Oryctolagus cuniculus: one gene and its partners. The protein of the gene in region 5 binds, or shares a complex with, the protein of the main gene of each other region. Links are inferred from orthologs where the notes say so. Each region holds a gene or a part of one and is shown on either strand. Other genes may lie near its edges.

Evidence for each region.
Region 1: EXOSC7 (region 5) and EXOSC3 share a complex: the UniProt entries of both Homo sapiens proteins name them as parts of the RNA exosome core complex. The link is inferred for Oryctolagus cuniculus from reciprocal best matches to the Homo sapiens genes EXOSC7 and EXOSC3.
Region 2: EXOSC7 (region 5) and EXOSC1 share a complex: the UniProt entries of both Homo sapiens proteins name them as parts of the RNA exosome core complex. The link is inferred for Oryctolagus cuniculus from reciprocal best matches to the Homo sapiens genes EXOSC7 and EXOSC1.
Region 3: EXOSC7 (region 5) and EXOSC4 share a complex: the UniProt entries of both Homo sapiens proteins name them as parts of the RNA exosome core complex. The link is inferred for Oryctolagus cuniculus from reciprocal best matches to the Homo sapiens genes EXOSC7 and EXOSC4.
Region 4: EXOSC7 (region 5) and EXOSC2 share a complex: the UniProt entries of both Homo sapiens proteins name them as parts of the RNA exosome core complex. The link is inferred for Oryctolagus cuniculus from reciprocal best matches to the Homo sapiens genes EXOSC7 and EXOSC2.
Region 6: EXOSC7 (region 5) and EXOSC6 share a complex: the UniProt entries of both Homo sapiens proteins name them as parts of the RNA exosome core complex. The link is inferred for Oryctolagus cuniculus from reciprocal best matches to the Homo sapiens genes EXOSC7 and EXOSC6.

What each region holds. Positions count from the first base shown.
Region 1 is NC_091432.1:200,611,408-200,615,595, reverse strand, and holds the start of EXOSC3 (exosome complex component RRP40), read left to right. Parts: upstream 1-1,388; 5' UTR 1,389-1,455; coding exon 1,456-1,779; intron 1,780-3,020; coding exon 3,021-3,170; intron 3,171-4,188. UniProt on the Homo sapiens protein: Non-catalytic component of the RNA exosome complex which has 3'->5' exoribonuclease activity and participates in a multitude of cellular RNA processing and degradation events.
Region 2 is NC_091446.1:32,404,429-32,407,583, reverse strand, and holds the end of EXOSC1 (exosome complex component CSL4), read right to left. Parts: intron 2,735-3,155; coding exon 2,701-2,734; intron 1,678-2,700; coding exon 1,627-1,677; intron 1,499-1,626; coding exon 1,414-1,498; intron 937-1,413; coding exon 830-936; 3' UTR 501-829; downstream 1-500. UniProt on the Homo sapiens protein: Non-catalytic component of the RNA exosome complex which has 3'->5' exoribonuclease activity and participates in a multitude of cellular RNA processing and degradation events.
Region 3 is NC_091437.1:167,909,073-167,912,454, reverse strand, and holds EXOSC4 (exosome complex component RRP41), read right to left. Parts: upstream 1,991-3,382; 5' UTR 1,916-1,990; coding exon 1,745-1,915; intron 1,349-1,744; coding exon 1,142-1,348; intron 1,059-1,141; coding exon 699-1,058; 3' UTR 501-698; downstream 1-500. Other genes in the region: GPAA1 (glycosylphosphatidylinositol anchor attachment 1 protein), read right to left, coding at 1-71. UniProt on the Homo sapiens protein: Non-catalytic component of the RNA exosome complex which has 3'->5' exoribonuclease activity and participates in a multitude of cellular RNA processing and degradation events.
Region 4 is NC_091432.1:233,342,206-233,346,421, reverse strand, and holds the start of EXOSC2 (exosome complex component RRP4), read right to left. Parts: upstream 2,801-4,216; 5' UTR 2,746-2,800; coding exon 2,624-2,745; intron 1-2,623. UniProt on the Homo sapiens protein: Non-catalytic component of the RNA exosome complex which has 3'->5' exoribonuclease activity and participates in a multitude of cellular RNA processing and degradation events.
Region 5 is NC_091441.1:102,789,516-102,793,015, reverse strand, and holds part of EXOSC7 (exosome complex component RRP42), read right to left. Parts: intron 2,750-3,500; coding exon 2,648-2,749; intron 2,364-2,647; coding exon 2,269-2,363; intron 1,821-2,268; exon of another isoform or gene 1,724-1,820; intron 1,718-1,723; exon of another isoform or gene 43-1,717; intron 1-42. UniProt on the Homo sapiens protein: Non-catalytic component of the RNA exosome complex which has 3'->5' exoribonuclease activity and participates in a multitude of cellular RNA processing and degradation events.
Region 6 is NC_091449.1:56,939,994-56,942,863, reverse strand, and holds EXOSC6 (exosome complex component MTR3), read right to left. Parts: upstream 1,672-2,870; 5' UTR 1,598-1,671; coding exon 782-1,597; 3' UTR 501-781; downstream 1-500. UniProt on the Homo sapiens protein: Non-catalytic component of the RNA exosome complex which has 3'->5' exoribonuclease activity and participates in a multitude of cellular RNA processing and degradation events.

The DNA of each region.
Region 1 (4,188 bases), on a different chromosome or scaffold from region 5:
ATAGAAAATGGCAATTTCATTAATTATGCCTGACTCAAGAAGTCGGAAGATTGGAAGCCCTGAAGTACCTGTACGAGGTGTTTGGTTTCTCACGTGGGCATCAAAAGTGTGCTCTTGGTAAGGTAGCTGTAGGAATTTAACTCAGTTACTGATTTTCCCAGGCATGCAGAGATAATATGTGAATGCGATGTGTATTTTTGCAGGGTGAAAAGTCTAGGGGCAAATGTGTGTCACAGTATTACTATATTCATTTACTTATCAGGCATTGTTTCTTTTTTTCTTTTTTTTTGACAGGGAGAGTGGACAGTGAGAGAGAGAGACAGAGAGAAAGGTCTTCCTTTTGCCATTGGTTCACCCTCCAATGGCCGCCGCTGCCGGCGCACCGCGCTGATCCGAAGCCAAGAGCCAGGTGCCAGGTGCTTCTCCTGGTCTCCCATGGGGTGCAGGGCCCAAGCACTTGGGCCATCCTCCACTGCACTCCCTGGCCACAGCAGAGAGCTGGACTGGAAGAGGAGCAGCTGGGACAGAATCCGGCGCCCGGACCGGGACTAGAACCTGGAGTGCCGGCGCCGCAGGCGGAGGATTAGCCTAGTGAGCCTCGGCGCCGGCCCAGGCATTGTTTCATACCAGACCTTGGGCTACAATCAGAACTAGAGTGGTCGGCATGGAAGAGCACACAAACAGGCAAGACCAATACGTTTTCTTCTCTAGTTACAATCAAGGTGTTTTTTTTTTTTATGATTTATTTTATTTATTTAAAAGGCAGAGTTACAGAGCGACAGAGCTCTTCCACCTCCTGGTTCACTCCCCAAATGGCCTCCAAGGCAGGGGCTGAGCCAGACCCAAGCCAGGAGCCTGGAGCTTCATCCAGATCTCCCAGGCGGATGCAGGAACCCGAGGATTTGGACCATCCTCTGCTGCTTTCCCAGGTGAGCAGGGAGCTGGATGGGAAGTGGAGCAGCCGGCACTCGAACCACAGCAGCCTTACCCACTAGGCCACAACGCAGGTCCCCAAGAAGTTTTACTTTGAAGAAAAAGTACTTTTCCTGGTAAAGGTCAGCACACTTCTGAAGGTAGCGTCCGAAAAGAGCCCCACAAAGTAGTTTCCAAAGTCCCTCTGTTCAGCTCCCGTAATTCTCCAGGGATCCTATGAGAAGTATCTTGTAGTCCAGGGGTGCGACCGGAAGTGCAGGCTTCTCCAGTGGACTCAAGCTGGGCGTGGCTCACTGCCGACCCGCGGGCAGACCACGAGGCAGGTGCTCGGGTCCTGACACAATCACAGCCGCCTTGGGCGAGGAGCACCCGCCTGCTGGCAGAGACCCGGCTTCGCAGACTTGGGTGCAAGGCCAAACGACAGCCACGGCCGGAAGCGGAAATCCGGCCGTGGGCTGGCTGCTCCACTCGGAGACGGAAGCGGAAGTTGGGTACCGGAAGCAGTGTTTAGTGACGCCTACTATGGCTGAATCTGCGCCTGTCACAGCTGAGTCTCTCGCGGGCAGCGGGGCGCGGGCGGCGTGCACGGTTCTGAACCAGGTGGTGCTCCCAGGAGAGGAGCTGCTGCTGCCGGAACAGGAGGACGCAGACGGCGCTGGCGGGGCCGGGGAGCGGCCGTTACGCCTGAATGCCGGGGTGTGCTCGCGCGTGCGCGTGGTGTGCGGCCCGGGCTTGCGGCGCTCTGGCGATCGTCTTCTGGTCACCAAGTGCGGCCTCCTCCGCCACAAGGAGCCCAGCAGTGGCAGTGGCGGTGGCGTTTACTGGGTGGACTCGCAACAGAAGCGGGTGAGCTGGGATCCCGGGGGGGACGGGGAGGTGGGGGCGCGGCCGTGAGCATGGAAGAAGCCGCCGTGGGGCCTTGCAGTGTTAAGGCGGAGGGTGGGGGCGCTGCCGTGAGCGTGGAAGAGGCCGCCGAGGGGTCTTCCTGTGTTAGGGCGGGGGGTGGGGGCGCGGCCGTGAGCGTGGAAGAGGCCGCCGTGGGGCCTTGCAGTGTTAAGGCGGGGGGTGGGGGCGCGGCTGTGAGCGTGGAAGGGGCCGCCGAGGGGCCTTGTGTTAAGTCAGGGGTGGGGGGCGCGGCCGTGGTGCCTTGCTGCGTTAAGGCTGATTTGGAACCACCGTAGTGCAGGGCCCACCTCAGCAGCCACTGTATGTAGGACCATGAACAGTAGGGATGCAGCCTGACAGAGGCCTCTGGAGACTGAATCATGGTTATTGTCATTAAAATCCCAGTGGTTTTGGAACAGCAGGCTTGACCTTTGGCGTCCCAGCGAGCAGAACCAGGCTCAATGAGTGGCAGTTACAGGGAGTTAAATCGCTCTTAGGTGAGAACTTTCCTGGTAGGAAAAAGTGTCTAACAATGGAATGTGCTTTCCTGGTTCTAAGGATTCCAGTGCCACTGGACTTGGATGCAGCAGAAGCTAGGGACTTACTGGTAAATACTGGCTCAAATGAATAGAAGCTGTAGGGGCCACTTGTGGTGCAGCAGGTTAACGCCCTGGTCTGAAGCACCGGCATCCCTTATGGGCGCCCATTCGAGTCCCGGCTGCTCCTCTTCTGATCCAGCTCTTTGCTATGGCCTGGGAAAGCAGTAGAAGATGGCCCAAGTCATTGGGCCCCTGCACCTACATGGGAGACCTGGAGGAAGCTCCAGGCTCCTGGTTTTGGATCGGCGCAGCTCTGGCTGCTGTGGCCAACTGGGGAGTGACCCATCGGATGGAAGACCTCTCTCCCCCTTTCCCCCTCTTCCTCTATCCTCCTCTCTCCTTTCTGTGTAACTCTGATTCTCAAATAAAAATAAATAAATCTTTAAAAAAATGAATAGAAGCTGTAAATCTGAGAGTTTATACTGTGATCTCTCTTTTACTGAAAATGGCATATAATCAAACTTGTATGGGTTAACTTGTAAACTTGCATTTCGGAATATTTAAAATTATCTCTTTAATGACAACAACTAAGGCTAACTTGCTGGAGATATCTTGCAATGATAGCTTGCCATTTATGGCTGTTCTCTCAATTCTGTTTTGTAGTATGTTCCAGTGAAAGGAGACCACGTGATTGGCATAGTGACGGCTAAGTCTGGAGATATATTCAAAGTTGACGTTGGAGGGAGTGAGCCAGCTTCTTTGTCTTACTTGGCATTTGAAGGTGCAACGAAAAGAAACAGACCTAATGTGCAGGTAATGATGGCGCCTTTGACCCCTAGGACGTTCATTTATCCAGCAGCTGCCTGACCTGTCTCCAGAGCCTGGCCATTCTCCCAGCTGTGCGGGATCATCTCTGAGTGTTCGGGCTCTCAGAGTTCCTTCAGAGTCTGCAGGAGCAGAGGCACACACTTGGTTTATATTTGTGACGTTGGTTCCTGGGAGGCTTCACCTTGGAGGGGAGAGGTTCTGTTTTCTCCGCTGTTACCTGTTAGGTCCGTATCCACTGGCCAAGGTCAGGCACAGCCTTAGAGAGGGGGAAGGACAGGTGGTGCAGATCAGCAGCAGCTGTCTGTTCGCCCTGCAGAGGAGTCATCTTCTTACCTAAAGTTTGCAATTGGCCTTCTCAGGTCGCATAGCCACACCCTTCCTGTCTACCCAAGCCAGGAACTTGGTGGCTTCTTTGCCCTTTCACCTCTAGTCACTAGTTGCTTAATCCTATTTTGAGCCTACCTCCATCCCTTTGTCTCCACTTTGCAAGTTCAGGCCTTAAACCCCCGCCCCCACAACTGAAGTCAGTGAGTGATCCTATTAACTCCTTTACCTCCACCCTTTTACCCCATCCATAGAGGCTTTGGGGAGCTGATATCCCCTTTCTCAGACTAAAAGGAAGATTCTTCAAAGCCTGCAGAATTCCTCAGCGTTACCTCCTTCACAGCGTGCGTGAATCACACCATACTCTACTGAACTCAGTTTCCTGCCCGTGTATCTTGCTTGGGTCATTCAGGTTGTTCCCTGTCGGGATTGCACAGGCTCATCCTTTGGGATCTGGGGTGAACAGGACCATCTTTGTGAAGGCATTGCCAGTCATCACTTTTTTATCTTTGCTTTAGCACTTAACTGAATTTGGCCTCGAATGAAATCTAATCTGTGCATCCCAGCTGCACTCCAAGACCAAATGCTTCTGAAAGGCAGACAGTGTTTTGTTCCTCTCTAGGAACGTGGTCACTGACAAAAAGTAGATATTTAATGTTTCCTTGAGTGAACAGAACAG
Region 2 (3,155 bases), on a different chromosome or scaffold from region 5:
GCAACCCCTCCATCCTTGACTCCATCCCTTCCTCACTCGAGCTGGGCCCTGCATTTCGGCTTCTGCATTTTGCTAGGGCTGCTGTCTGCCTCGAATATCTTCACTTTACTCCAAATTCTGTCATTCCTTTCCCGGCCACCTCACGTGAAAGCTCTGTCCGTCTTTTCAATTCCGATGGGTCACCCAGTCCTGGAGTACCCAGTACATCAGAAACCCTATTTTCACCAAATACTCTGCAGACCTATTCACGTGCTACCTGGATGAGCCCATCCGTGCTACAGTTTTCACTGTGCCGTAATGTACTGAAGTGAGGGGTGTACCTAGAGCCTGGAGCAGTTAGCAGAAGCATTTAAAACAGAACTCAAAACAATGCAAAAGAGGCTGGTGCTCAGGCTTCGTCTAAGCAAATGACACCCGTCGATCAGTGGGCGCCATCGGCAAAGCCTTGCTCTAAACGTTATGACACATTCAGGGGTTTTTCCCAGCTCAAGACAACAGCAGCCTGTAATAAAATCCTTTTAGTAAAAAATGTTTTCTTGATCACAGCAAAATATACACATTTATAAAGATACACTGTCGGGAGGAACAGGCTATTTCCCACAGGCCACAGCTCGCAGTTTACTGAGCCCCCGGAGGAGGAATGTCATCACTCGAGGGAGGGAAATCCACTCACAGGAAGGCTTCATCTGCACAATGAGTTTCCTGGTCGAGTCTTCTCGGGCAGTGCTGGCTGACCCTGGCCTTTGACGACAGACAATGCATCCGGGTGCTGTTTTCATACCTATGCTCTCAGAAACAGCTGAGCCCTCCGGGGGGTCACCATGGCCTCCTAGGTCTGCAAGAATTCAGGCTGCACGCGGGCCACTTTCCGGAACTCCTTAGTGTGGGTCTTAGGGCACTGCATCTCACACCAGCTGATGGGAACCATCTGGACACCTGGAAGGGAAAAGCTGGGTTTGCAGCTGGGACCTCAGATGTTTGCTTGAAGCCCTTTTCTTTCAGATGGGTACGAAGCTGAAGTATTACCAGGCTACCAGCAAACCTCCCCTCATACGGGAAAACCGTGTTTATCTCATGATTTATGAAGTGAGTCCCACCTCCTTAGGGCTAGCAGAATCTCATCTCTGCAGTAAGCACAGCCACGCATCACCTGATGGGGGCATGCGATTTCATAGTTGTGTGAACATCACAGGATGTACGGCTGCAACATCACTAGGTGATAATCTCATGCGACCACCAGCCCAGATGCAGTCTGTCACTGACCAAAATGCTGTTATGCAGTGCATCATGGTACCTACACTTATATTGCTTCCCAAACAATGACAAACTAGGGAAAGTCAGAAAATTAATGCATTGATCCCAAACCATACCAGCCAAGGAAGAATCAGAATGTAGAAGTGTAGACCAACTCACCTGACTCACTATGGGCCACCACCACTCCCAGCTCATTTTCAGCTGTGGTCAGCAGGTAGTTGGACTGGGCGTCACCTAGAGAGATCTAGTCACACAACAGCGGTGAAGGAAAATGAGAGGTTACAAGTCTTCCCCCCTTAGCCACTTGGGTTGTTTCTCTAGTTCCATGTCTTCTTCACGAAGAACCAGAAGTCTGCTGGGAATAAAGGATACCACTTTGGCCAAGACAATGTCCCCTGGACGGAAACTCTTGTATATTTCAACCTGTGAAGAAAGCATAGTGGTGTTAAGTGAAGCTCTGGATCAGAGCCACACAGAATCCTTAGCCCCTCTGGGAGAGCTTGTCGCCTATCTAACCCCAGCGGGGAGAAGGCATCATAGCCTGTCAGTCAACATCATACAAATCAGATTTTGAATTCAGTAATCCAATCAGGAATCAGACTACTGAATTTACTATAAAAAGGTACTATAGGGGCTGGCTTTGAGGTGCAGTGAGTTAAGCCACCACCTGCAACACATATCTGTATCCCATTTGAGCGCCAATTAGAGTCCCTGCTGCTCCACTTCTAGTTCAGGTCCCGCTAATGTGCCTGGGAGAACAGCAGAGGATGGCTCAAGTATGTGGGCCCCTGCCACCCACATGGGAGACCTGGAGTTTCTGGCTTCTGGCTTCAGCTTGGGGAGTGAACCAGGGATGGAAGACAGCTCTCTATGTAGCTGTCTTTCAAGTAAATATTTATCTTACAAAAAAAAAAAAAAAAAAAAAAAAAAAGGGCGGGGCAAGCACTGTGGCGCAGCACGTTAACGCCCTGGCCTGAAGCGCTGGCATCCCATGTGGGCGCTGGTTCAAGACCCAGCTGCTCCATTTCCGATCCAGCTCTCTGCTGTGGGCTGGGAAAGCAGTAGAGGATGGCCCAACTACTTGGGCCCCTGTACCCGCGTGGGAGACCTGGAAGAGGCTCCTGGCTCTGGATCAGCGCAGCTCCAGCCACTGCAGCCATCTCAGGAGTGAACCAGTGGATGGAAGATCTTTCTCTGTCTCTAACTCTCTCTGTAACTCTTTCAAATAAATAAAATAAATCTTTAGAAAAAGAAAAGATATAAGAGGTACTGCAGTTGGTTCTGAAAGATCCAGGACTACATCTGAGGGGACAGCAATGAATAAATACTTGGCTTTAAGGGCAAACCTAGCCCCACTCAGGTCAGATGAATTAACATAAATGTGAGTAATTGTAAAGGATTTCAATTGCTTCATTCATGGAAGAGAAAAACGAACCAACCAACAACCTTGTCTTTTTCAGTGGCTCGAACATCTTCCTTCCTACAAAAAAAAAAAGTTCACCAAAGGTTAATTATCTTCGAGAAAAACTGTCCTGAAGGTTCCTAGCAGGTGAAGGACTCTCAGAGCAGACGGAACAAGTCTTGACGGGAGCCAGCTGCCACCCAGAACGAGGGGGGGAGGCATCTTCGCCCACGGGAGAAAGCACTTGCCCATTGTCAGGCCATGCAGAGCAGCAGGAGCAACACCTCTGAGTACAGAAAGAGATCAGAGGCGGCAGGAAAAGATAAGGAACTTTGCTGCTTCAAGAGAACTGGAATGAAATGCCACAGAACCACACCAGACCCTGCAAAATCGAATTATCTGAGGTGGGTGTTTGGTGCAGTGGTAAAGCCGCCACTTGGGATTGTCCATGTCCTATCCTGCACTGCCCGGGTTAAGAGTCCCCACTCCGCTCTCCATT
Region 3 (3,382 bases), on a different chromosome or scaffold from region 5:
CCCAGACCAGAAGGCGGGGAGGCCCCTGCGCATGCCCAGGCCAGAAGGGTCGCAGGAGGCCCACTGCGCATGCTCTGAGCGGCGACTCGCCGGAAGGCCGCGGGGCTCGGGCTCAGCTGACTGGGGGTGGGCCCAGGCAAGGGAGGCAGCTTCCAGTTCGGCCAGACCGTGCACGAACGGGCCAGACCGGTCAGGGGCGGCGAGGAAGCATCAGCTGGACGGCTGGCAGGAGACGGAGGTGAAGCGCAGGGCGGCAGCGAGCAGCCGACGGGGATGAAGGGCTTGGAGAGGGAGGCCGGGACGGGGAATCCTCGCCGTGGGTGCCCTGCACCGAGGTCGCCGGTAGGGAGCGCGCTGCCCCTGTCCAGGCCAGGGGGTCCCCGAGGTGGTCCGGGAGACGCAGCTCCTGGTTCCCTGCTGCAGGGCTCGGGCGGGTGACGGGGGCGCAGTGGTGGGCGGGGAGGCAGGGGCCGAGCAGGGGAGAATAATGCAGGCAAGTGCACGAGGTTGTGGTACTTTTAGAGCTCAAGGTAAGGGACAGAACGGCCCAGGGTCTCCTGGGGGAAGGGGCTGCTCAGTGCAGCCCACAGCGCCCACAGCCGCCTCCCGCCGCCTGCGCGCACCGCACCGGCCCTCCAGGTGCGACTCCGGAGCAGGTCACGCGTGGGAGAGGTCCGCACGGGCCCGGCGGCCGCTGTTCAGTCCCCCAGCAGGATGGAGGCCTCGCGCACGTGCTGCCGCACGACGCGGTCCAGCAGGGTGTGCACGCCGCGCGCAGCCTGCGCAGCCGCCTCCAGCACCTGCTCCAGGTGGTCTTCGTGCAGGCGAGCGTCCATCTCCAGCAGCGCGATCTGGCCGGAGGCCGGCAGCAGGGCCAGAGCCAGCTGGGGGCTGCCCGACGCCTCCTCCACGTGGCTGAGGTCCGTCAGCGCTGTGCCGTCCACAAAGCCGGCCGAGCAGGCGCACACGAAGTCCCGCATGGGTATCCCGGCGTCCAGCACTGCCAGCGTGGCCGCGTTCACACAGGCCGCGTAGGTGCCCCCGTCCGCCTGCAGCACCTGCAGGGCCCCCGAGGGGCGTCAGGCGGCCGCCCCACGCCCCGCAGCCCCTCCCTCCGCGTGCGGGGCTGCGGCCAGCTCACCTGCACGTAGATGTCGATCTGGGAGCGTGGGTGCAGCTGGGTGAGGATGGCCGCCTCGAAGGTCTGGCGCAGCTGCAGGCCCAGCTCACAGGACTTGCGGTCCCCGTGCGGCCGGCGCTTGCGCTCGGCTGTGCTGAACGTCGCCGAGCTGTACTGGCAGTTCACCAGGGCCCGGTCGGGCAGCGCGCGCGAGCGGGAGCCCCGGATCTGGAAGAGGGGCGCCTCGTGAGCCAGGCCCAGGCCCCCGGCCCCCGCCCTAGTCCGCAGCGGCTGCTCGCCCAGCGCCGCCAGTCGCCTCGGGCGCGCGTCCCTAACCCACTCCCCGGGGCTACGCGGGTTCTGTGGGAGCTGCACCTCAACCCCCGCCTCCCCACTGCGCGGGGAGTGAAACCCCAAACCCTGGGAAAGCCTCACGGCGGACGGGTGCCCGGCTCTCCCCACCCCAGTCCGCCCACTGCTCGCGCCGACAGGCAGCGCGTGTGGACTGCCGCGGGCCGGGCCGTCGAGGTAAGGGAGCGAGAGCGCCCGGCACGCGAAGCGCCGCACGGCGGCCGGTGGGCGTTCGCTCCGAGGGCGCGCCGCCGCCGCCGCCCGCTCACTCGCCTCGTGCGGCCCGTACACCACCGCCAGCGCCTTGGTGTTGCCCTGCTCGATGTAGGCCGAGCCGTCGGCCTGCGCGAACACCCCCATCCGCGCCTGGATCTTGCGCAGCTCCCCGGCGCGCCGTCCGTCCACCCGGTAGCCCTGGTCCGACAAGAGCTCCAGGCCCGCCATGCTCGCGGCCGCCCGCTCCGCGCTCGGCCGGCCGGAGAACTACACCTCCCATCAGCCCCGGCACTTCCGGCGGCCAGGCCGCACTTCCGGTCCCTGAGGCCCGCGGCTCCGCGCGGTGTGGCGTCACTTCCGGCGCCGCGGTCCCGGGCGGCCTGCCGCGGCCGCCGGAGCTGGCGGGGCTCCGTTCTCTCGGTTCCTTGCCGTTCTAACTTTTGTTGAGTTTAAAAGCTGGGCGCGACCTCGTACGATACGGTCGTATCCGCGGAGTTGTGACTCCCTCAGGCGCTTGTCACCCCGCGGCTCTGGGGGCGCTGAGCCTGTTCCCTCGTACGCACCTTTTTGTGTTGCACAAAACAGCGCGGAATCCCTTCGCGTGGTCCTGCAGGGCTGCGTGGTGGCCGCGGAGAGCGCACCCCGAGGGCAGGGGCTTCGGGGCGAAGGCCGCAAGCAGGGCAGCGCGAGCTCTGCTGCTTTCCCACCGAGCCTGGGAACTGACCGTGTCCGTGGGAAGGGGCCCGGACCTGTGCGGCCAGCACCTGCCTCCGCTGGGCCGCATCCCACCGCAGTCTGCAGGTGGAAAGAGGCGCGCCGGAGAGGAGAGGAGACGCGGGCGCCGGTCCCGTGCTCCCGGGCTCTTGCCTCCCGTACGCCCAGCTCCCACAGTGCCCGCGTCCCCTTTGAGGGTGCAGATGCCCGCACCCTTCCAGAAGGCGGTTGGTGCATGCTTGGTTCTTGCTGCGGGACCTGCACGCTGTCACAGAGCGGAAGTCCCTGGGTAGCTTCGCACAGTCCACAGTTGGCGCTCAGTGGTGGCTGGCGCCGTCTTGAATGCTTCCTCCCCGTGGCCGCTGCTGTTAGCTGCAGGCCGTCGGCGCACACCTGCCTGGCTTCCCCAAGCAGCCTGGGCTTTCCCTCGGCTTGGTGGCGGCTCCCAAGGCAGCGCCGCGTGTGTGGCGACTTCATGACTCAGCCCCAGAAGTCCGCGTTGCCTCTGCCGTACCGCATGGCCCAGGCTTAAGGGGAAGGGACAAAGCGCAGCTGCCCTGGACGGCGTGGCGATGCAGACAGGCTGGTCCAGGGTCCAGGTGCAGCGCTTGCAGCGTCTTCTCCGTAGTGGCTGTGGCCGCGGCCGTGAGGGCTGGTCCTCTGCCACTGACCACTCTGGGTCCCCCACGCTCTACCCTGCTGCTGGACGAAGCTGTCTGCTAGAAGAGCAGCCGCAGCCCCTTGCCTCGGTGGCCTGAGCTCACTGTCCCGTCCTCACTGGGCTGGAGTGTCGGCCTGACCTCTGCTGTCCTCCTCCCTGTCTTGACTGGGTGAGGTGAAAATACTGAGGAGCCTGCGGTCCCCTGGGTCCCTGCCACCGCTGCAGCCCCAGCTTCACGACTCAGAGTAACCAGGAAGTGCCAGTCTTCAGCCTAAGCGACCAAAGTGGGTGAGTGGTAGCCAGGGGCTTCCTCCAGCCCT
Region 4 (4,216 bases), on a different chromosome or scaffold from region 5:
CTGCCGCCGTATCCCCAAGCACGCTCTCCATTTATGCCTTATTTGTTGCTGTTTAAGATTTATTTATTTATTTCAAAGGCAGAGTGACAGGGAGACAGACAGACATATCTTCCATCCCTGGCTCACTCCCCACATGGCTGCAAGGGCTGGGGCTGGGTCAAGCCAGGCCAGGAGCCCTGAGCTCCACCAGGTCTCCCACGTGTGTGCAGGGCCCAAGCCCTTGGGCCATCTTCTGCTGCCCTCCCAGGCCACAGCAGAGAGCTGGATCAGAAGTGGAGCAGCCGGGACTCTAACCTGGGCTGGGATACGGGCTGCTGGGGCCTCAAGCCATGGCCTAACCCCTGGTGCCGCAACACTGACCCCACTCCTTGTCTGCTGTTGTGCTAACGTATTCCTTTTTCTTTTTCTTTTCTTTTTTTTGACAGGCAGAGTGGACAGTGAGAGAGAGAAAGGTCTTCCTTTGCTGTTGGTTCACCCCCCAATGGCCACCACGGCCGGCGCACCGCGCTGATCCGATGGCAGGAGCCAGGTGCTTTTCCTGGTCTCCCATGGGGTGCAGGGCCCAAGCACTTGGGCCATCCTCCACTGCACTCCCTGGCCACAGCAGACAGCTGGCCTGGAAGAGGGGCAACCGGGACAGAATCCGGCGCCCCGACCGGGACTAGAACCCGGTGTGCCGGCGCTGCAGGTGGAGGATTAGCCTAGTGAGCCGCGGCGCCGGCCAACATATTCCTCACTATCTGTGTCTCCCCAGACGCCAACTCCGCCAGGACAGAATTCATTTTGTTCACTGCTACACCCAGACCACACGGACTACAAATATATGGCGAAAGTACGAACACAGGAATGAATTTTAACATTTCGGAGATTCCAACAACCTCAAACTTGGGGTGGGGCCAGCAGGTTGGGCCTCCGCCTGCAGCGCCGGCATCCCATGTGGGTGCCAGTTCAAGTCCTGGCTGCTCCACTTCCCGTCCAGCTCCCTGCTATGGCCTGGGAGAGCAGCAGAGGAGGGCCCAGTGCTTGGGCCCCTGCACCTGCCCGGGAGCCCCGGGAGAAGTTAGGGGAGTGGTGGTGGGCGTGCAAGTGTTCAGCCTGTAGCTAAGAAGCCGGCCTCCCACATCTGGTGCCTGGGTCTGACTGCTGGCTCCGGCTTCCTGCGAACACAGACCCGGGGAAGCGGCAGTGACAACTCAAGCGACTGGCTCTCTGCCACCCACGTGGGAGACCCACGTTGCGCTCCTGGCTCCTGGCTCCAGCCAGAGGGTTGCAGGCAGTTGAGAAGTGAAACAACACTCTGTCTCTCTCAAAAATAAATAAGCAGGGGCCGGCGCCGCGGCTCACTTGGTTAATCCTCCACCTGTGGCACTGGCATCCCATATGGGCACTGGGTTCGAGTCCCAGTCACTCCTCTTCCTGTCCAGCTCTCTGCTGTGGCCCGGGAGTGCAGTGGAGGATGGCCCAAGTGCTTCGGCCCTGCACCCCATGGGAGACCAGGAGAAGCACCTGGCTCCTGCCATCGGATCAGCACAGCGCAAGGCCCATGGCGGCCATTGGGGGGGTGAACCAACAGACGAAGACCTTTCTGTCTCTCTCACTGTCCACTCTGCCTGTCAAATAAATAAAAATAAACAAATATTGATGCTGAAGATGATGTACACCCGGCAAACGTGCATTCCTACAAAAAACCAAGAGGCTGAAACACTGCCAGTGCTTATCTCTGCCGGCGATCTAACGGTGAGTCTTGTATCTTTCCCATCCGACCCTTCAGTAACTCCCGTCAGAAATTCTTACAGATCAGGAACCGGACCTCTGATAAGGTGACTGGCAGGCGGGGAGCCCCCCTTGTCCCCCAACTACAAGGCCCTGCACTGCCCTGCGGCACAGCGTGTATTCATGCAAGGTAGTTCATGCAACCTTGAGTCTTCCTAAGCCCACACAGGAACGACCCCTACCCCGGGCCCAAGCTGGGTGGGGGGCTCAGGGAGGAGGAGGGAAGCCAAGTCTGCCCTCCGTCCGCCCCCGGCTGGGAACCGCAGGGTCCCCGACTTACCGCCCCCGCCCCCGCACACCGCCGGGACCCGCGGAGTCCCCTTCCTCCCGCCCCCGCCCCCAGACACCGCCGGGACCCGCAGAGACCCCGACTTACCGCCCCCCGCCCCCGCCCCCAGACACCGCCGGGACCCGCAGAGACCCCGATTTACCGCCCCCGGACACGGCCGGGACCCGCAGAGACCCCGATTTACCGCCCCCGGACACGGCCGGGACCCGCAGAGACCCCGATTTACCGCCCCCGGACACGGCCGAGACCCGCAGAGACCCCGACTTACCGCCCCCCGCCCCCGCCCCCGGACACCGCCGGGACCCGCAGAGTCCCCCTCCTCCCGCCCCCGCCCCCGGACACGGCCGGACCCGTAGAGTCCCCTTCCTCCCGCCCCCAGCAAGGAACGCCCAGAGATCGGCGCTTCAGACCCCCAGAGTCGGGGCCGCCAGAGTGCAGGCGAGGCGGCGTCAGGGACTCGTCTCGCAGACGACGCCGAGGGGCTGCCCTGGGCCCCGGTCGGGCCCGCAGATCACGTGCAGAGCCCTGCGGCCGCCCCCTGCACCCCGGGGCCCCCCGTACCGCATGAAGCCCGTGTCCGTGGTGATCGTGTCCCCCGGCACCACCAGGTGCTTCTTGGTATCACGCCCCAGACTCTCGCTGGGAAGCTTCCTCGCCACCGGAAGGCGCATCTCCATCGCCATCTTGGCGCCAATAACCTGCGCAGGCGCAGCTCGGCCCGGAGCCGCGGAATTCAGCCCGGCAACTCCGAGAGGGGCGGTCTGGGGCGGGGCCTCAGGGCAGCCGCCAATGGGAGCGCACGGTGTGGCAGCCATGTTGACTACTGGCAACCGTTATGTTAACCCGAAGGGGAGGAATGCGGAGTTTCCACGTTTATTACTGGCAAGGGTGCACCTGTGGCGTGATGGCATTCCACAAGCTATTGTTTGTGGCTTTTTATCAAAGCTGTCTGGTACTGCCATCCTGCTTATTGTTTACCAGCGTTAGACGTAATTGAGGAATGGGCCTCTGAGTTTCCGTCCAGCTCTAAGCCGCTAAAATCTGATTTTTGTATGACAGCGCCCAGGAGGACACGATTTCAACAGAAAGCATAGCCATACTTTCTTTTTTTCAAAAGATTTATTGGGACTGGCGCTGGGACGCAGTGGGGGTAAGCCGCTGCCTGCAGCGCTGATTTCCCATTGGGCGCCCAGCTGCTCCACTTCCCATCCAGCTCCCTGCTGATGCGCCTGGGAAAGCAGTGGAAGATGGCCCAAGTGCTGGGGCCCCTGCACCCTCGTGGGAGACCTGGAGGAAGCTCCTGGCTTCGGCCTGGCCCAGTTCTGGCCCTTGCAGCCATTTGAGGAGTGAACCAGTGGATGGAAGACCTCTCTGTCTCACTGTCTCTCTGTCTCTCTCTCTCTCTCTAACTCTGCCTTTCAAATAAATAAATGCTTTTAAAAAGACAGTGTTTAAGGAGCCAAGCAATTTCTAAAGCAGTGTTCCAAGTTTAGGGAAAAAAGATTTATTTGAAGGGCAAAGCCACAGGGAGAGACAGCGAAAGATCTCCCATCTGATGGTTCACTCCCCAAGTGGCCAGAAACTAGGAGCCAGGAACTCCCCCCACAGGTCTCCCATGCAGGTGCAGGGGCCCGAGCACTTGGGCCATCCCCTGCTGCTTTCCCAGGAGCATTAGCAGGGGGCTGGATCGGAAGTGGAGCGGCCGGGACTTGAACCTGCACCCACATGAGATGCCAGAATAGAAGGTGATGGCTTAACCCATTGTGCCCTGGCGCCAGCCCCAAGCGCCCCACTTCACACTGTTCCCAGTGGCCCCAGTCGGTCAGAACAGCCGCCTCACGGCTGCTGGGTCAACCCAGCCCGCACCCCCACCCACAGGCAGCACGCCGGACACTGCTGAGCCAGCTGACTTCTCTGAAAAAAGAGAAAGAGAAGTGAAGCGAAGCAGGCCACACCCCGCGAGGCAGGTGTGTGTGGTGGAGAGGGCAAATGCGCACACACAACCAAGGCCTGCACCTGCGTCTGTGCCCACAGCAGCCTCCGCCCGCGTGCCGGGCACTGCCTGTCACGTCACAGGAGTCCCTGCCGGTGGAGCGATGCCTGTCCCGTGTGGTCTTATCTGCCACTCCTGCTTAAAGGAGCTGTGCCTCCCGG
Region 5 (3,500 bases):
CAATGAGAGGGAGGAAGCAGAAAGCAAATCACAGTTCCTCACCCGGGCTGCCTGCTCCTCAGAACCATTTACTGCTCTCCATCGGGCAGATCCTGGCCAGGAGAGGCAGTCTGCTTCCTCCAGGAGCATCCACAGGAACCTAGAGAATGGGCCATCTGCAATTCAGACTAGTGAGAGCAGCTAGGAGGAACCAGAAGCCAGTTGAAATGGTAGCAACCGGCTGGAAGGATAACTGAGCAGAAAGGTGACCGTGGACAGCTCCTGACATCCAAGTGCAATGTTCCTGAGAGCTGGCCTCTGTAGGCTGCATGAGAATGGACAGACCTGAGCTGGCATTTTTAGCTATGTGATATTATGGAAGTCTCTTACTCTCTGAACTCCATTTGTCATCTCTCTCGAGATGACAGCAGGAGTGCTGTGAGGACCACCTTTTGTGTAACTCACCACCTGAACATGGGTTAGCACTGTACAAAGCGCGGACACGGTGGCAAGGGGAGATTGAGAAGAGCCTGTCTGTGGGCTGGCCCTTGGCTGGCATCTGGGAACTTGGCTCTCAGAGTTCCCAGTCAACAGCAAACTGATGGGGCAGTGCACTGTGCGAGACCATGCAGTACGGGTCATGCTAAACACCTGCTCTCCTAGGATCCGGAATCTTGGGATGCATTAAACAGAGGGTGTCTATGTGACCAGCACCCAGCAAAAACCTGGGGTGCTCAGTCTCACGGGGTTTCCTAGACACAAATGTCACAAGTAGCTGGTGTACAAGGGCACTTCGAAAAGGCTATAGGAAAATGGTATTAAAACATTGTGAGGGGCCGGCGCCGCGGCTCACTAGGCTAATCCTCCGCCTAGCGGCGCTGGCACACCGGGTTCTAGTCCCGGTCGGGGCGCCGGATTCTGTCCCGGTTGCCCCTCTTCCAGGCCAGCCCTCTGCTGTGGCCCGGGAGTGCAGTGGAGGATGGCCCAGGTGCTTGGGCCCTGCACCCCATGGGAGACCAGGAAAAGCACCTGGCTCCTGGCTCCTGCCATCGGATCGGTGCGGTGCGCCGGCCGCAGCACGCCGGCCGCAGCACGCCGGCCGCGGCGGCCATTGGAGGGTGAACCAACGGCAAAGGAAGACCTTTCTCTCTGTCTCTCTCTCTCACTGTCCACTCTGCCTGTCAAAAAAAAAAAAAAAAAAAAAACAAAAAAAAAAACCATTGTGAGGGGCTGACGCTGTGGCACAGTGGGTTAAGCTGCCACCTGTAACACTGGCAGCCCATGTGAGTGCTGGTTCAAGTCTCTGCTGCTCCACTTCCTACCCAGCTCCCTACTAATGCTCTTAAGAAAGCAGTGCAAGATGGGCAAAATGCTTGGGCCCCCACCACCCACGTGGGACACCTGGATGGAGTTCCAGGCTCCTGGCTTTGGCCTGGCCCAACCCCTGCTGTTGCAACCTCTTGGAGAGTGAACCAATAGATAGAAGATCTCTGTCTCTCCCTCTCTGTAACTCTTTCAAATAAACAAATCTTTTTAAAAAATTCTAAAATCCATGCAGTGTGTCATAATATGTATTTTCCACACACATTCTGAAGACTGCTCCTATTTTCATTGCTATCATAAATTGTAGCCAGGAGTGCAACTACGTGCTAAGCCCTGGCAGCCAGTCTCCAAACACGGAAGTGGCCCTGGGGACGCCCAGCGGAGCATCAACACCAAACACCCACATGGAGCAGGAGCTTACCTGCTTCAGGAAGGCCTGCTACAACCACCTGCTTCTAGAAACATGGTTATAGACAGAAGAAGGGACCAGGCCAGCAATCCAAAAACACTCCCAACCCCTAGAGGGGGAGATAACAAGAGGGAGAGAAATAACTTTTAAAAAGATTTATTGAAGAGGCAGAGAGAAAGAGACAGAGAAGCACACTATCCCATTAGCTAGTTGATTCTTCAAATGCCTACAAGAGCCTGGGCTAGGCCAAGGGTGAAGCTGGGAGCCAGGAATGCAATCCAGGTCTCCCATGTGGGTGGCAGGAACCTCATTACTTGAGCCATCACCACAACTTCCCAAGGTCTGCACTGGTGGGAAGCTGGAGTCACTAGATGATTAAAACAAGGGCAAGGCTCTTGAGAACCCGGCAGGTAAGACGAGGCAAGTGAATACCTGCCAGATGGCCGAGCGACAACTAAATGCAAACCAAGAGCATGCGCCACAGGAAACCAGGGGTTCCCATTCTCCATCTGTACCCGTTAAATCACCCCCTCTGAAAGCACTGCATTAGTACTGACCAGTCAACAAAGAACTCCACGTAGCCCTCATCTGGCTTCTCCAGCTTTGGCGTCCCCATTTCCGCTTTCACTCCCACCAAGATGTCGGTATGACCCTGCAGACACAGACGAGAAGGGTCCTCACTGGAGGCAGGCAGCCAGGCACCCAACCACCAGCCTCCTCTTCGGGACATGTAGCCCTGAAGGACTTGGCAGGTGACTTCCGAGGAGGGGAAGGGTGTTTCAGATCTGAATGGACCCCCCTCCCTGAGCTGGGCTTGGACCTTGGATGTCCCCAGGAGCAAGCTGCATTCCAAAAGCCGCAAGGGCTCCTCTGCACTGGCTCCCTGGGGCCTACCCATGTCTCCACCTGGGAATGAACTGTGGCCCCAATACTCACCAGCTTGACCCTGGCAGACCCACTGGTGTTGGACACCACATCGGTTTCCACTTCGACACATCGGTAGTCTTCACAGCCACGGCCATCCACACGGAGGTCTTCCTGAGTGCAACAACCACAGTCCTAAAGCTGTGACCCCAAAATGACCGGACTCCTTGACCCATCCGCTGCTGTCTTTCCGCTCGAGAAGTATACAGTGCTTCTCCCTTCCTCTTAGTGGGACATCCAGAATTCCGTCCTCTGAGCTAATATTACCATAAGGGAAATGGAGACGTGGGGGGCACTAAGAGTCTCACTGCAGGTCCTTCAGCTGGTGTGTCTGGCACTGCAATTCACAGGATGAACCACCACCAGAATATGGACCCAAAAGTCAAACCCAAACAGGTTTGGAAGCTTTTTTCTTTTTTTCAGAAAAAGAATCATTAGTTTATAAGTTATTCAAAGGAGCTGATGTACCACCAAAACATAAAAAACAAAAAAAAAACCTCCCCACCTGCCCAAGGCCAGCATTGTGACATAGCGGGTAAAGCCACCACCTGCAACACCAGCATCCCATAGGGGCACTGGGTCTAGCCCCAGCTGCTCCACTTCTGATCCAGCTCCCTGCTAATGCACCTGTGAAGACAACCGAATGTGGCCTAAGTGTCTGGGTTCCTGCCACCCACGTGGGAAACCTGGCTAAAGCTCCTGGTTCTGAGCTTTGGCCTGACCCAGGCCTGGCCATAGTGGCTTCTGGGGAGTGAACTAGTGGATGGAAGACCTCCCTCTCTAACTCTCCCTCTAATTATGACTTTGAAAATAATAAATCTTGGGGCCGGTGCTGTGGCGCAGAGGGTTAAAGGCCTGGCCTGAA
Region 6 (2,870 bases), on a different chromosome or scaffold from region 5:
AGCCATGCTCCTCTGCTTTCCCAGAAGCCAGTTCACCCGCCCTCTCCCCAGGGGCTCAGGCTGGACAACGGGCAGATGAAGGCAGCCCAGGGGCCCACTCAGCGGCAGTGCAGGCCTTTGACTGGACTGCTGTGGCCCTGGCCACGGAAGGCTGGGATCCGGCTTCCACCCCCAGCAAAACCCTTTCCAGCTCTCGGGAACCCTGCGCTGGGGCCTCTCGCGGCACAGCCATGAGCTCCGGGACCCCCGAGTGCTCCCGGGCCGTCCAACTCTCCTCCCGGCGCAGCAGCCGCCCTCACGGGCACCGGAGGCGGCGGCGTGTCTTCCTGCCAAGCACACGGCCCACTTCTAAACCCGCAGCTGCTTCAGGATTCTGGCCCGTCTGGTCGGCTCACCGGTCCAAGGGACACGACACAGGCGGGGCAGTGCTGTCCTGAGCCTCACCGCCAGGGAGCCTTGCTCTCTCTGAAAATCCTGTACTAAGAACCACGACACGCGTATTTCGAATACAAAAAAAAACGGTTTTGTTGTTTCAGTCCCGCTGTGAGAAGGCGCAGCGCCCTGTCCATCGTCTCCGGAGTCACACAGATCCCGCGCTCCGGACCAGGCCGGCTCAAGTCCTTCCCAGCTCGGGAGTAAGCAAGCAGCCCGCGGCTTCCTGCGCTGGCTTCTGGCTGGGGACTGGAAAGATCGTCAAACGTTCGTCTGTCGACAGCCGTTCCAACGCAACTGTCCATCTCCGCACGCTCTGTCCGCTCGCGGCTCCACTTCGCCCGCCGGCTCAGGGCAGGGCGGCGCCCCTGCGGCGGGCGGCCCGCACCAGGCACTGCTGCAGCACCGGGTAGAGTCGCTGGCAGCCCTCGAGGCCCAGCCGCACGGCTTCGGCCCAAGTCTCGGTCGCGTCGCCCTCCCCGCTGCCCAGCAGCCCGGCCACCTGGTTGAGCACCGGCATGAGGGCCACGGTGAGGCCGGCGGCGGCGCGCTCCTCCTCCAGCCGCGTCGGGTCCAGCAGCCAGGCGGGCGTGGGCCCCTGCGCGCGGCTCAGGCCGCAGCCCACCACCAGGTCGTACATCTCGACGCCCGCGTCGGCCAGGGCGAGGGCGGCGGCCGTGAGGGCGGCGGCCAGCGCCGAGCCGCCGTCCTCCAGCAGCAGCGCCGACACCTCGAGCTGCGCGCGCGGGTAGCGGCTCAGGCGCACGGCCGGCTCCAGCGCCTCCTGCAACGCCAGGGCCAGCTCGCGCTCCTCGCCGCCGCCCGGAGGCGCCCGGCGCCGGCGGCCCGAGAAAGGCGCACGGCGGAAATCGCAGACCAGGCGGCCGCGCAGCGCGGCCGGGGCCTCGCCGCCGGCGCCGGCAGGGCCGCTCCCTCGCTCGCTGCCCTCGACCTGGCGTGGGCCCGACACGGCGCACAGCACCTTGGTGCCTCCCGCCTCCAGGTAGGCCGAGCCCTTGGCCTGGCTCAGCAGCCCGGCGCGCGCGTACACCGGCCGCAGCCGCGTCGGGTCTCGGGCGGCGGGCTCCTCTTCCTCGTCGGCGGCGTACAGCTGCGGCGGCTGCGACTCGTCTGGTCCGCGGATGCGGCGGTGGTCCCCGGGCATGGCGGCACCTGGCGAGCACACCGCTTCCGCCCGTCGTCCTACCGCGCGCTCCGGCTCTTCCGCCCGCTTGAAGACGCGCGCTCGCGCGGGGGCTGTCGGGAGAGCCGCAGGCAGTCGCGGCTGCACTGCCCCCTGGCGCCGTGGAGGGAGAACGGCTGCGGCGCCAAGGCTTTGAAGCCGCAGCAAGGTTGCCCAGGGCTGGACGGGCCGGTTGACTGTCTCCCAGGCCAGGTCCTACCCGAGCGCTTAGTCTTCTCACTTATGCAGGCTGTAGTTATCTTAGTTTTGCACTAATCTGTGGGACTATTTTATATGTCCCCACCGGGGAGTTGGCCTTGCTCACTCCCAAGCCCCTGGCTGGCACGAAGGCCTATATGATGGATGGAATCTCTCTCCAGCACTGGCTTTATGTAAGTCTCTTTGTATCATTAACACGGACATCAACACCCCCTTTCTGCCTCCCCTTCCCACCCTGAGAACCGCCCCTCACCCCAGCATGCACCTGCTTTTCCTTCTCCCTCCACTGTCAGCAGCACCGTGACCTGGGCTCTGGGGCCAGCCGCTGTATCCAGAGGACAGGACATCCGTTGGGGCTGGCACAGGCAAGCAGTACCTTCACCTTCCAAACTCTGCCATTTTAGACTTGGGGAAACTGGACTCAGAGACCGGCCAGTGTCTTTGGGTCAAGTGGGAGTGATGGGCAGACACTAGAGTAGGAGGCAATAGCTGCACCTTAAACATCTTCTGTACCAGAGACTGCCCTCCAGCCTCATACCCTGACCCCACATGAAGAGCTTCAGAGGGAGGGGAGGGACATGAGCCAGAGCCGCCGCCTGCAGGGCTGGCATCCGATGTGAGCACCAGTTTGAGACCAGCTGCTCCAATCCAGCTCTCTGCTATGGCCTGGGAAAGCAGTGGAAGATGGCCCAAGTGCTTGGGCCCCTGCACACGCGTGGGAGACCTGGAGGAAGCTCCTGGCTTCGGATCAGCACAGCTCCGGCCACTGCAGCCCTTTGGGTAGTGAACCAGTGGATGGAAGACCTCTCTCTCTCTGCTTTTCTGTAACTCTGCCCTTCAAATCAATCAATCTTTAAAAGAAAAAAACAATGGAGGTTCTCCAGGCGCACCTTTGCTTTGTAACCCCTCGGACCACTGAATTATTAGAGCCTCTCTCTCCATCTCACCCCCGTCTCCACAAACACTGAGTTCAAGGGTTTAGGGCTGGACTGAGCTGGAGTCAGCATGTTTTACACACCCTCGGGTAGCCAAGAGC